3 linked regions of the Saccharomyces cerevisiae S288C genome follow. Each later gene encodes a partner of the first gene's protein in a complex. Each region holds a gene or a part of one and is shown in the gene's direction. Other genes may lie near its edges.

Evidence for each region.
Region 2: NAP1 (region 1) and CDC10 share a complex: the UniProt entries of both Saccharomyces cerevisiae proteins name them as parts of the GIN4 complex.
Region 3: NAP1 (region 1) and CDC3 share a complex: the UniProt entries of both Saccharomyces cerevisiae proteins name them as parts of the GIN4 complex.

The regions. Positions count from the first base shown.
Region 1 is NC_001143.9:524,962-528,717, reverse strand, and holds NAP1 (histone chaperone NAP1), read left to right. Parts: upstream 1-2,077; coding exon 2,078-3,331; downstream 3,332-3,756. Other genes in the region: TRK2 (Trk2p), read right to left, coding at 1-903; FMP46 (putative redox protein), read left to right, coding at 1,487-1,888; PLN1 (Pln1p), read left to right, coding at 3,644-3,756. UniProt on the Saccharomyces cerevisiae protein: Acidic protein, which assembles histones into an octamer (in vitro). Involved in the regulation of the localization and the function of the septins during mitosis. Involved in the function of B-type cyclins.
Region 2 is NC_001135.5:116,848-120,140, reverse strand, and holds CDC10 (septin CDC10), read left to right. Parts: upstream 1-1,792; coding exon 1,793-2,761; downstream 2,762-3,293. Other genes in the region: YCP4 (flavodoxin-like fold family protein), read left to right, coding at 1-566; mitochondrial 54S ribosomal protein bL32m MRPL32, read right to left, coding at 970-1,521. UniProt on the Saccharomyces cerevisiae protein: Septins are GTPases involved in cytokinesis that assemble early in the cell cycle as a patch at the incipient bud site and form a ring approximate 15 minutes before bud emergence, which transforms into an hour-glass shaped collar of cortical filaments that spans both sides of the mother-bud neck.
Region 3 is NC_001144.5:762,391-766,146, reverse strand, and holds CDC3 (septin CDC3), read left to right. Parts: upstream 1-2,009; coding exon 2,010-3,572; downstream 3,573-3,756. Other genes in the region: TAD3 (Tad3p), read left to right, coding at 1-17, 74-881; NKP2 (Nkp2p), read right to left, coding at 878-1,339. UniProt on the Saccharomyces cerevisiae protein: Septins are GTPases involved in cytokinesis that assemble early in the cell cycle as a patch at the incipient bud site and form a ring approximate 15 minutes before bud emergence, which transforms into an hour-glass shaped collar of cortical filaments that spans both sides of the mother-bud neck.

The DNA.
Region 1 (3,756 bases):
TGGCAGGACAGAATGGCGTTTCAGTGAGCAGTGGGGGGCTCTTCTCTCATGACGTTCCTGCACAATGAAAGCGGGTCCATTGGTCTCGCTCGAAAAAGAATCCGTGGAGTTTGCGTTGCTCTTCTCTTGTTGTTTTTGTAGCATCATTATCGATTTGTAAATGTCTCTTGGGTCAACGTCTGAGGGTTGGCGCTTACTTGAGAAGTTTGGAGGCGAGCTTTGCGTGTCACTGGATTCCTCCTTAGAGGAGGAAACATTCAACGGTGAGATTGAGGACAATGCGGACGTGTCAGGAGAGTCCATCGGCACATCTGAAGCGGATTGTCGTGGGTCTTCTCTGGAAACAAACTTCCCACGGAACAGGTTGTCCTTGAAACTCCTACTTCGAGCGGCATTGCCACTGCTGCCCGATAGTTCCCTTTGTTGCAACGTCATGGTCCTTCTTAGTTTAAAATTCTGTTTGGAGATATCCCTAATGTTGTCGAAGTACCTTTCAAACCAATACAGCCTGACAAAGGCCAAAAACCCATGAATAAGTATAGGCGTGGACAGCAATGTAATGACGTACACCACTATCTGCTGGTACAGGTTGAAATCGTTAGTGCTCTTGGTGGCCAGCCCGCCCTGTGTAGACGCTCCAGCAGCCAGAAATAGCACATCGATGAACGCCGTGTTCTTGCACGGATATAACAGAATGGACCCGATAATCGACAGCGTGATCAGGTAGATATAGTGCACCACGATGAAGTTGGGGAAAACGTATTTAGCAATGGGTCTGCATGATTTTAAGAACCCGGAAATGAAGTCTCTTAGCCGATGGCCCCATGATTTCTTGTGCACCAACCGTAACTGGAAGGGCAGTGCCAACGAAGCCCTGGATGACGTCCTCTTAGCTGTTGGCATGAGTGGTTCTTACAGCCTCTTATCGTCGGTGAATAGTACAAAATAGCCTCTTTTCTCATCATCTGAAACCTAGTTATTCCAATATCATTTCTCTTTTTCAGCCGCACGGCCGAGGGGATTAGAAACGAAAATTCACATCTCATCCTATTCTTCGCAGGAGATCAAAAGTGAAAGAGAGAAACGGGAAACAACCATCTGAGCATGGCAGCTTGCATCAAATTATCAATCATCGTGTGATGTACCATGGCCTATTCAACGGCGGTACGCTTGTACTACAGGGCGCTTTCAGCGCATGCCGGGCACTCCCTTCTTTCTTCCGTCGTCTTGCATCTCTCTAATCCCGTCGCTATGCTCTGATATAACCGTTGCCAAAGTGTCAAGCTGTTGTGAAATTGTGCTGGAGGCATTGATGGTTCTTGAACTCTTCCTCTTTTTAGTCTGGCTTTAGCTTGATTGGGCACGGGCACTCAATGGACGGGGTATCCACCCAGCTTGGAAAGGGGCATATAAAACCAAAAGAGAACGTTAAGAAAAGTGCAAATGAAAATAACAGACCGGGAGATCGCAAACGCAAACGCAATAAATGTCGTTTTGGAAAACATTGCAGAGACAGCCACGTACCATCTCGTTGTTTACCAATGACATCGCGTCCAATATCAAGTCGCAGAAATGCCTGCAGTTGCTGAAGGGAGACGTCTCTCATCGATTCGACGTGGAAATCGCCAACCGCTTTCCCACGTGGGACCAGCTGCAATACATGAGAACTTCGTGCCCGCAAGGCCCAGTTTCGTTGCAAAGGCAGATTCCAAAGCTGGATTCAGTGCTCAAATACAAGCACACAGACCCGACGTTCGGGATGGACCTGCAGAAGTGTGTCCAGAGGGGACTTTGGAATCCAAAGGAGGCGCTTTGGGTCGACTGGGAAAACAAGTTGGTGGGAAATGAGCCCGCAGACATTGACAAGTACATCATTCAGCGCAAATAACACCTATATACCACTATATTGAACACATACATATTTTTATAACAATGGGCTATATCTTTTTTGTATTACCCGCGTAATTGGGAAAATTTTTCCTTTTAAATAGCAGCGTTTGGGATCAAAAATGGCAGTTTGATGGTAGATTAGGAGGATTTAGTGAGCCCAGTGGGACCAAGAGCAAAGCGCAAGATCATGTCAGACCCTATCAGAACGAAACCCAAGTCGTCGATGCAAATCGACAACGCCCCTACGCCTCACAATACCCCAGCATCGGTTCTGAATCCGAGCTATTTGAAAAACGGCAACCCAGTTAGGGCCCAGGCACAGGAGCAGGATGACAAGATCGGCACCATCAACGAGGAGGACATCTTGGCTAACCAACCCCTGTTGTTACAGTCCATCCAGGACAGACTTGGCTCGCTGGTGGGCCAGGACAGCGGGTATGTGGGGGGTCTTCCCAAGAACGTTAAGGAAAAGCTGCTGAGCTTGAAGACTTTACAAAGCGAGCTATTCGAAGTTGAAAAGGAATTTCAGGTGGAGATGTTTGAGCTAGAGAACAAGTTTCTGCAGAAGTACAAGCCCATTTGGGAGCAGCGGTCCAGGATCATTTCAGGACAAGAGCAACCCAAGCCGGAACAGATCGCAAAGGGCCAAGAGATTGTGGAGTCACTCAATGAGACGGAGTTGTTGGTGGACGAAGAAGAGAAGGCCCAAAATGATTCCGAGGAGGAACAGGTGAAGGGAATTCCCTCATTCTGGCTAACCGCATTAGAGAACTTGCCCATCGTTTGCGACACGATCACTGACCGCGATGCGGAAGTTCTGGAGTACCTGCAAGATATTGGTCTGGAATACTTGACGGATGGTAGACCCGGTTTCAAGCTGTTGTTCAGATTTGATTCTTCCGCCAACCCATTCTTCACCAACGACATTCTGTGCAAGACCTACTTCTACCAGAAGGAGCTCGGTTACTCCGGGGACTTTATCTACGACCACGCAGAAGGCTGCGAGATCAGTTGGAAGGACAACGCCCACAACGTCACTGTGGACCTAGAAATGCGCAAGCAGAGAAACAAGACCACCAAGCAGGTGAGGACCATCGAGAAGATCACTCCCATAGAATCCTTTTTCAACTTCTTCGACCCTCCCAAGATCCAAAACGAAGACCAAGACGAGGAGTTGGAGGAAGACCTCGAGGAACGTCTAGCTTTAGACTACTCCATCGGGGAACAACTTAAGGACAAGCTAATTCCTAGAGCCGTGGACTGGTTTACCGGCGCAGCCTTGGAATTCGAGTTCGAGGAGGACGAAGAAGAAGCGGACGAGGACGAAGACGAAGAAGAAGATGATGATCACGGCTTGGAGGATGACGACGGGGAATCTGCCGAAGAGCAAGACGATTTTGCTGGCAGGCCGGAACAGGCTCCTGAATGCAAGCAGTCATAATCCCAACGCACTTCGCAAGAGTGGTCATAACCGTATTCATATATTTATATACATATGTATACATACATATATAGATATATATATGTATATACATGTAAGTGTGTAAGCTGAAATATATGTTAAAGCGCATGTAACTAAGACGACAATAATAATAATAATAATGATAATAATAGCCTAGATTTTCTCCGCCGTGGGGGATGATCGTATTCTTTCGGATTTAATAATATAGCAGCAAGGGTTATAAAAGGAAAGATAACGGAATGTATCGGTAATCATTAACCATCACTCACTCTCCAGAACCGTAGCGTAATTATGTCTGAATCATCTATTTCTTCTTCTAAACCATCTGTGGAATTGCCACAAGCAACCTGGTCGCATCTGCAAAGATACCCAGCTTTATCCAAGTTTATTAAATATGCGGAATC
Region 2 (3,293 bases), on another chromosome or scaffold:
CTGTTGCCACTGAGAAAACGTTGCTCGAATATGACGCCTTTTTGTTCGGTGTTCCAACTAGGTTTGGTAATTTGCCGGCTCAATGGTCCGCCTTTTGGGATAAAACCGGTGGATTATGGGCCAAGGGCTCTTTGAACGGCAAAGCTGCGGGGATATTCGTTAGTACTTCCAGTTACGGAGGTGGTCAAGAAAGTACCGTTAAAGCCTGTTTGTCTTATTTAGCTCATCACGGAATTATCTTTTTACCACTGGGTTATAAGAATTCATTTGCTGAGTTAGCCAGTATAGAAGAGGTACACGGTGGCTCTCCATGGGGTGCTGGTACCCTTGCAGGACCTGACGGCTCAAGAACTGCGTCTCCACTTGAATTGAGAATTGCTGAAATTCAAGGTAAAACATTCTACGAAACCGCCAAAAAACTTTTCCCTGCAAAAGAAGCCAAGCCCTCCACTGAAAAGAAGACCACTACTTCTGATGCGGCTAAGAGACAAACTAAACCTGCAGCAGCTACAACTGCAGAAAAGAAGGAGGACAAAGGATTATTATCCTGCTGTACTGTCATGTAAGAAACAACAGTTCGCGTCTAATATTTAGTTCTTACTAACATTAATTCTATCTCAGCAGATATATCAATGTAGGACGTTGGAAAATTAATAAAGAATTAACTCTTTTTATTTTATTTTTTCCTTTTTATATTAAAAGTATATTTCTGTAAGTCCTTGTACTAATAATATCATTTCCTAATATTTTGAAATATAGTTGTTTTTTGTCAAGCAAAACTCTTGATTTCAAAGACCTCATTTTGTTAAGCCAAAAGCGAAAAATTCTATTTCGACTTTTCTTTCTGTTTCCGCTCCTTGTATTCTACCATTGATGCTGTCTTAAACAATAAATATACAGTTTGAAATTAAGTTTCTATATACAGGCTTAAGTTTATTTAAAAAGGAAACCACTAGATGAAAGATGAGCCTAGTCCTTTTTTAAAGTCCGAACGCGACGTTCCAAATAGTTATCTTTATCTTTCAAATCCTTGGTATATTTGGTATCTCTTCTACCAGGATATAGGACTCTTTGGTCTAGTTCGGAAAGTTCCTCCTCTTGTCTCGGCTTAATTTCTTCTTTAGCGGTATGCGTTTTCCATATATGACTTATTTGTCCAACACAATACATACACAGTGTATTGGCTCTCTTATAATGGCCGCATGATGGGCACTTATTCAAATGGTGAATCATCTTCAATTGCTTCTTACCTGGACCGTAAAGTTTTTGCCTTTTTTTTTGGTGTGATACTTTTTTTTTAGGAACTGCTAGTAGAATACCATTATTAGAGAAAAAATCTTTATCTTCAGTGTCCTTATGATCTTGTTGTAGCTTTTCTCTCAACCAACGGTGGATAGATCCCAGTTGTTTTTGGCCTGGAATCTGCAGTGAAGGATTTCCTAGCGGTACCAACCACCCAATTGCAGTGGTAGGCACAATTTTGTGAAATGCTAATTGTTTACCAAAAATCAAAGAATTCATAGTTTGTTTGCTGATATTCCCTGGTGTTTTTGTCTCCAAGTTAAGGTATTATTTGGGAACATTGTGCCTTATATTAAGATTTGCTTTCTGAATGCTTGCGGAAATAATCGTATGATACGATGAGATTTCCTCGAGAGACCACAAATAGATCAGAATCGCTGAATAGAATATATGTAAACATGTATCAGTAATACTTAACTTTTTTCAGGCAAAGACAAGAAAATACAAGGCCAAGCCCCACGGTTACTACAAGCACTCTATAAATATATTAATGGATCCTCTCAGCTCAGTACAGCCTGCTTCTTATGTTGGTTTTGATACCATCACGAATCAGATCGAACATCGTCTGTTGAAGAAAGGTTTTCAATTTAATATAATGGTTGTTGGCCAATCCGGATTGGGTAAAAGTACTCTAATAAATACGTTATTTGCCTCACATTTGATTGATTCTGCTACTGGTGATGATATTTCTGCCCTGCCTGTTACAAAAACAACTGAAATGAAAATTTCTACTCATACTCTTGTGGAGGACCGCGTTCGCTTGAATATTAATGTTATAGATACACCTGGATTTGGTGACTTTATTGACAATTCTAAAGCTTGGGAGCCTATTGTGAAGTACATTAAGGAACAACATTCTCAATACTTACGTAAAGAATTGACAGCCCAACGTGAAAGGTTTATTACTGATACAAGAGTTCATGCAATTCTTTATTTCCTGCAACCAAATGGAAAGGAGTTGAGCCGCCTTGACGTTGAAGCCTTGAAAAGATTGACAGAAATAGCAAATGTTATACCAGTTATTGGCAAGTCGGATACATTGACTTTAGATGAAAGAACGGAGTTTAGGGAGCTTATTCAAAATGAATTCGAAAAATACAATTTCAAGATTTATCCTTATGATTCGGAAGAACTAACTGACGAGGAATTAGAACTAAACAGAAGTGTTAGATCTATCATTCCGTTTGCAGTGGTTGGTTCTGAGAATGAGATTGAAATAAACGGTGAAACCTTCAGGGGAAGAAAAACTCGTTGGAGCGCTATTAATGTTGAGGATATCAACCAGTGTGATTTTGTATATTTAAGGGAATTTTTGATTCGAACTCATCTCCAAGACTTAATCGAAACAACTTCCTACATTCATTATGAAGGGTTCAGAGCAAGACAATTAATTGCCTTGAAAGAAAATGCGAATAGTCGTTCCTCAGCTCATATGTCTAGCAACGCCATTCAACGTTGAATCTCATAAGAATGGTGGTGATTATATATCTTATGTTATTAAGAATTCTCAAATTATTCTATATGAAAACACCGTAACTTGCTTCTCTCCTTGGTTTTACATAATGACATAATGCGATCGAAAACTAGAGGTACAGGTATTGCTGGATTGGCGAGAGTTTTTACCTTCTTTTCTGGCGTACAGCTATCACCTTCTCGTTTGGTAAAATGAAAGAACATTTTGTTGTCTTAGCCAAATATTTAATCTATGAAGAAAACGGAGTTTACCGGTAATTCTAAATAAAAGTTTGGTTAGGGATTGTGCCTCATAGAGAAGCAATTGGTACTCATCTTATTAAAGTATTACTATAAACATTAGAAAGAGTCCCTGAGCGTTGCTAATGGGAAGCTATTCGCGCTTTTAGTAAATTATTAAAATACGCCAAAAATAAATGTAATCCGGATATACCTCTTCTTTTAACCTTCCCAAACGTGTCCCACACCAAATTGAGCACCCTGCTCGATTATCATATGTCTACTTCACGTCTACACCA
Region 3 (3,756 bases), on another chromosome or scaffold:
TCGAAGAAAGTAATAGAGTATGTATATGATTTTTGCTTTTGTATTCATGGAAGTAAACTAACTAGTAAAGTAGGCTAATTCGAAACGATTTTCAGAAAAATGACCCTGTTTCATTGAGACATTTGAAAAGGATCCGCAAGGACATCGAGACCTCCACCTTGGAAGTGGTGTTGTGTTCGAAAGAGTATATTTGCGACGAAGGTGAAATAAACAATAAATTGAAGAGTATTTGGGTTGGAACGAAAAAGTATGAACTGAGTGATGATATCGAAGTGCCTGAGTTTGCGCCCAGCACAAAGGAACTGAACAATGCCTGGTCTGTGAAGTACTGGCCGTTGATTTGGAACGGCAACCCCAATGATCAAATATTGAACGACTATAAAATAGACATGCAGGAAGTACGAAATGAGCTATCGCGTGCGTCGACGTTGTCTGTGAAGATGGCAACGGCAGGAAAACAGTTTCCAATGGTGAGCGTCTTTGTTGACCCATCAAGAAAGAAGGACAAAGTGGTGGCAGAAGATGGCAGAAACTGCGAAAACTCGCTACCCATCGACCACAGTGTAATGGTGGGCATCCGTGCGGTAGGCGAAAGACTCAGGGAGGGTGTAGACGAAGACGCAAACTCTTATCTGTGTCTTGATTACGACGTCTATTTGACCCATGAGCCGTGCTCAATGTGCTCCATGGCCCTGATCCATTCTCGTGTGAGACGAGTGGTCTTCCTTACAGAGATGCAGCGCACCGGGAGCTTAAAATTAACGAGTGGTGACGGGTACTGCATGAACGATAACAAACAGCTAAACTCAACATACGAAGCCTTTCAATGGATCGGCGAGGAATATCCTGTGGGGCAGGTTGACCGGGATGTCTGCTGCTAGTTTTCCTCTAATAGATTAATATAAGATTGTATAATTTGTAATAGGCCAGGAATGGCATTGTCTCCTGCACTCGGTGAGCGAACCATATTTTCAAATTCTGCTAGTTCCGAGGTCTTTTCCTGAATAGCATCATCCAGAATCTGCAAACGCTGTTGCAACAGGTCATTAATCTTGTACAGCGCGTCGATCAGTGTCTCGAGGCTAAGGGAGTGTGATAGTTGCTCGCTTTCCAGAAATCGCAGTAATCTAGAGCGCAACGTTATGAAAAACTGCTTGATTCGTGCTTCTAACTCAGAGGTCACTCGCGCATCCCTGGCCTGAAGCAATTCGTACCAATGTTGCAGTTGTTGCTCGTCGCTCGTGTACGACTGTAGTTGCTGCTTGAACTCTTGAAAACTTATCAGAGTAGTGAGTAGCGAATCCGAAACATAGTTATGCAGCAGCTGTTCAGAGTTCATTTATAATGGTAATTTCAAAGCAAGATTGGGAGCACAATTGTCAAATCTATGATTATTTTGTTGCGTTATACCCAGCTTTTGGGCTTTTTCGAGAACGATCTTCGTTGTTTTTCGCTGTTTCTCCGCGAAGCGGGCAGCGGCGACGGTAATATTGGCTGTTAATCTATTGTTATCTTGTAGTTGTACAAGATCATTCCTTTAATTCTATATATTAACTGTTCGTGGCGTAACAAGAAATCGATTCTGACATCAAATGGAAGACATCAGCAGTTACACTAGTGGTGCAGGAAAGGCACCGCAAGGGAGTGCAAGAAGCTGTGAGAAACAACTTTATATAACTTGCTGCTTGATAATTGTGACAGAATATTCTCGCACCTTGCAAACATATATAGCAGCACCTCTAGATTTCTCCTTCCTTCCTTTCGTAAAAAGGAACCACCTGGGCGGCTAATTTAGTATTTTCGTCTTTTATGATCTACGTGTGTAATGATATGGTGGGGGCGTGTTTTCGCTTCCCATTTTTTGCCATTTTTTGTCTCGGTTTTAGGAATTGCGTTTTGTGTTGTTTTGTGTATTAAGTTAAAATCTCTCGAGGAAAGCAGATCAAGAAAATATCAAATCCAGGATCACACGACAACTGAACGATTACATCGGCCTATAATACGTTGCCATGAGTTTAAAGGAGGAACAAGTGTCCATTAAGCAGGACCCGGAACAAGAAGAGCGTCAGCATGATCAATTCAATGATGTTCAGATCAAACAAGAGTCGCAGGATCATGATGGAGTGGACTCGCAGTACACGAACGGTACGCAAAATGACGACAGCGAGAGATTTGAGGCAGCTGAATCCGATGTAAAGGTGGAACCCGGCCTCGGTATGGGCATCACCTCCTCTCAGAGCGAAAAGGGTCAAGTTCTGCCTGACCAACCGGAGATTAAGTTCATTCGTCGTCAAATCAATGGTTATGTAGGGTTTGCTAATTTGCCCAAGCAATGGCACAGAAGGTCCATAAAGAACGGATTCAGTTTCAATCTCCTATGTGTCGGCCCTGATGGTATTGGTAAGACAACTTTAATGAAAACTTTATTTAATAATGATGATATTGAGGCCAATTTAGTGAAAGATTACGAGGAGGAACTTGCAAATGATCAGGAAGAAGAGGAGGGTCAGGGCGAGGGTCACGAGAACCAATCACAAGAACAAAGGCACAAGGTCAAAATTAAGTCATATGAGTCGGTTATTGAAGAAAATGGTGTTAAACTGAATTTGAACGTGATCGATACTGAAGGATTTGGTGATTTTTTAAATAATGATCAAAAATCATGGGACCCGATCATTAAGGAGATTGACTCTCGTTTTGATCAATACTTGGATGCGGAGAACAAAATCAACAGACATTCAATAAACGATAAAAGAATCCATGCATGTCTTTATTTCATTGAACCTACAGGACATTACTTAAAGCCCCTGGACCTGAAGTTTATGCAATCTGTATATGAAAAATGTAACTTGATTCCTGTCATTGCTAAATCTGACATCTTAACTGATGAAGAGATCTTAAGTTTCAAGAAGACCATTATGAACCAGTTAATCCAATCTAATATCGAGCTGTTCAAGCCTCCAATTTATTCCAACGATGATGCAGAAAATAGCCATTTATCCGAAAGACTATTTAGTAGTTTACCTTATGCTGTTATTGGTTCCAACGATATTGTAGAGAACTACAGTGGTAATCAAGTGAGAGGCCGTTCCTATCCATGGGGGGTGATCGAAGTGGACAATGACAACCACTCTGATTTCAACCTTTTGAAAAATTTATTGATCAAGCAATTCATGGAGGAATTAAAGGAAAGGACAAGCAAGATACTATACGAAAACTACAGGTCTTCTAAATTGGCAAAACTTGGTATTAAGCAAGATAATTCAGTTTTCAAAGAGTTCGATCCAATATCTAAACAACAAGAAGAAAAAACTTTACATGAGGCAAAACTAGCCAAACTAGAAATTGAAATGAAAACAGTTTTCCAACAAAAAGTTTCCGAAAAGGAGAAAAAACTACAAAAATCAGAAACTGAATTGTTTGCTAGACATAAAGAAATGAAGGAAAAATTAACTAAACAATTAAAAGCTTTGGAGGACAAGAAAAAACAGCTAGAACTTTCAATAAATAGTGCTTCTCCCAATGTTAACCACTCCCCCGTCCCTACAAAGAAGAAGGGATTTTTACGTTAGCGAAATAAAGACATATAAAAATTTCAAACATACACTATTAAATATTATTACTATTAATATATAAAACGCGAGACGCGTAAAATAAAAAGAAGAAGGGTAAATAGAAAAAAATGGAAATGAAGAAAAACAGAGTTATTCAACTAAATATCTGTTATGATTTGAATCGCAGAATATAAAATTAAAA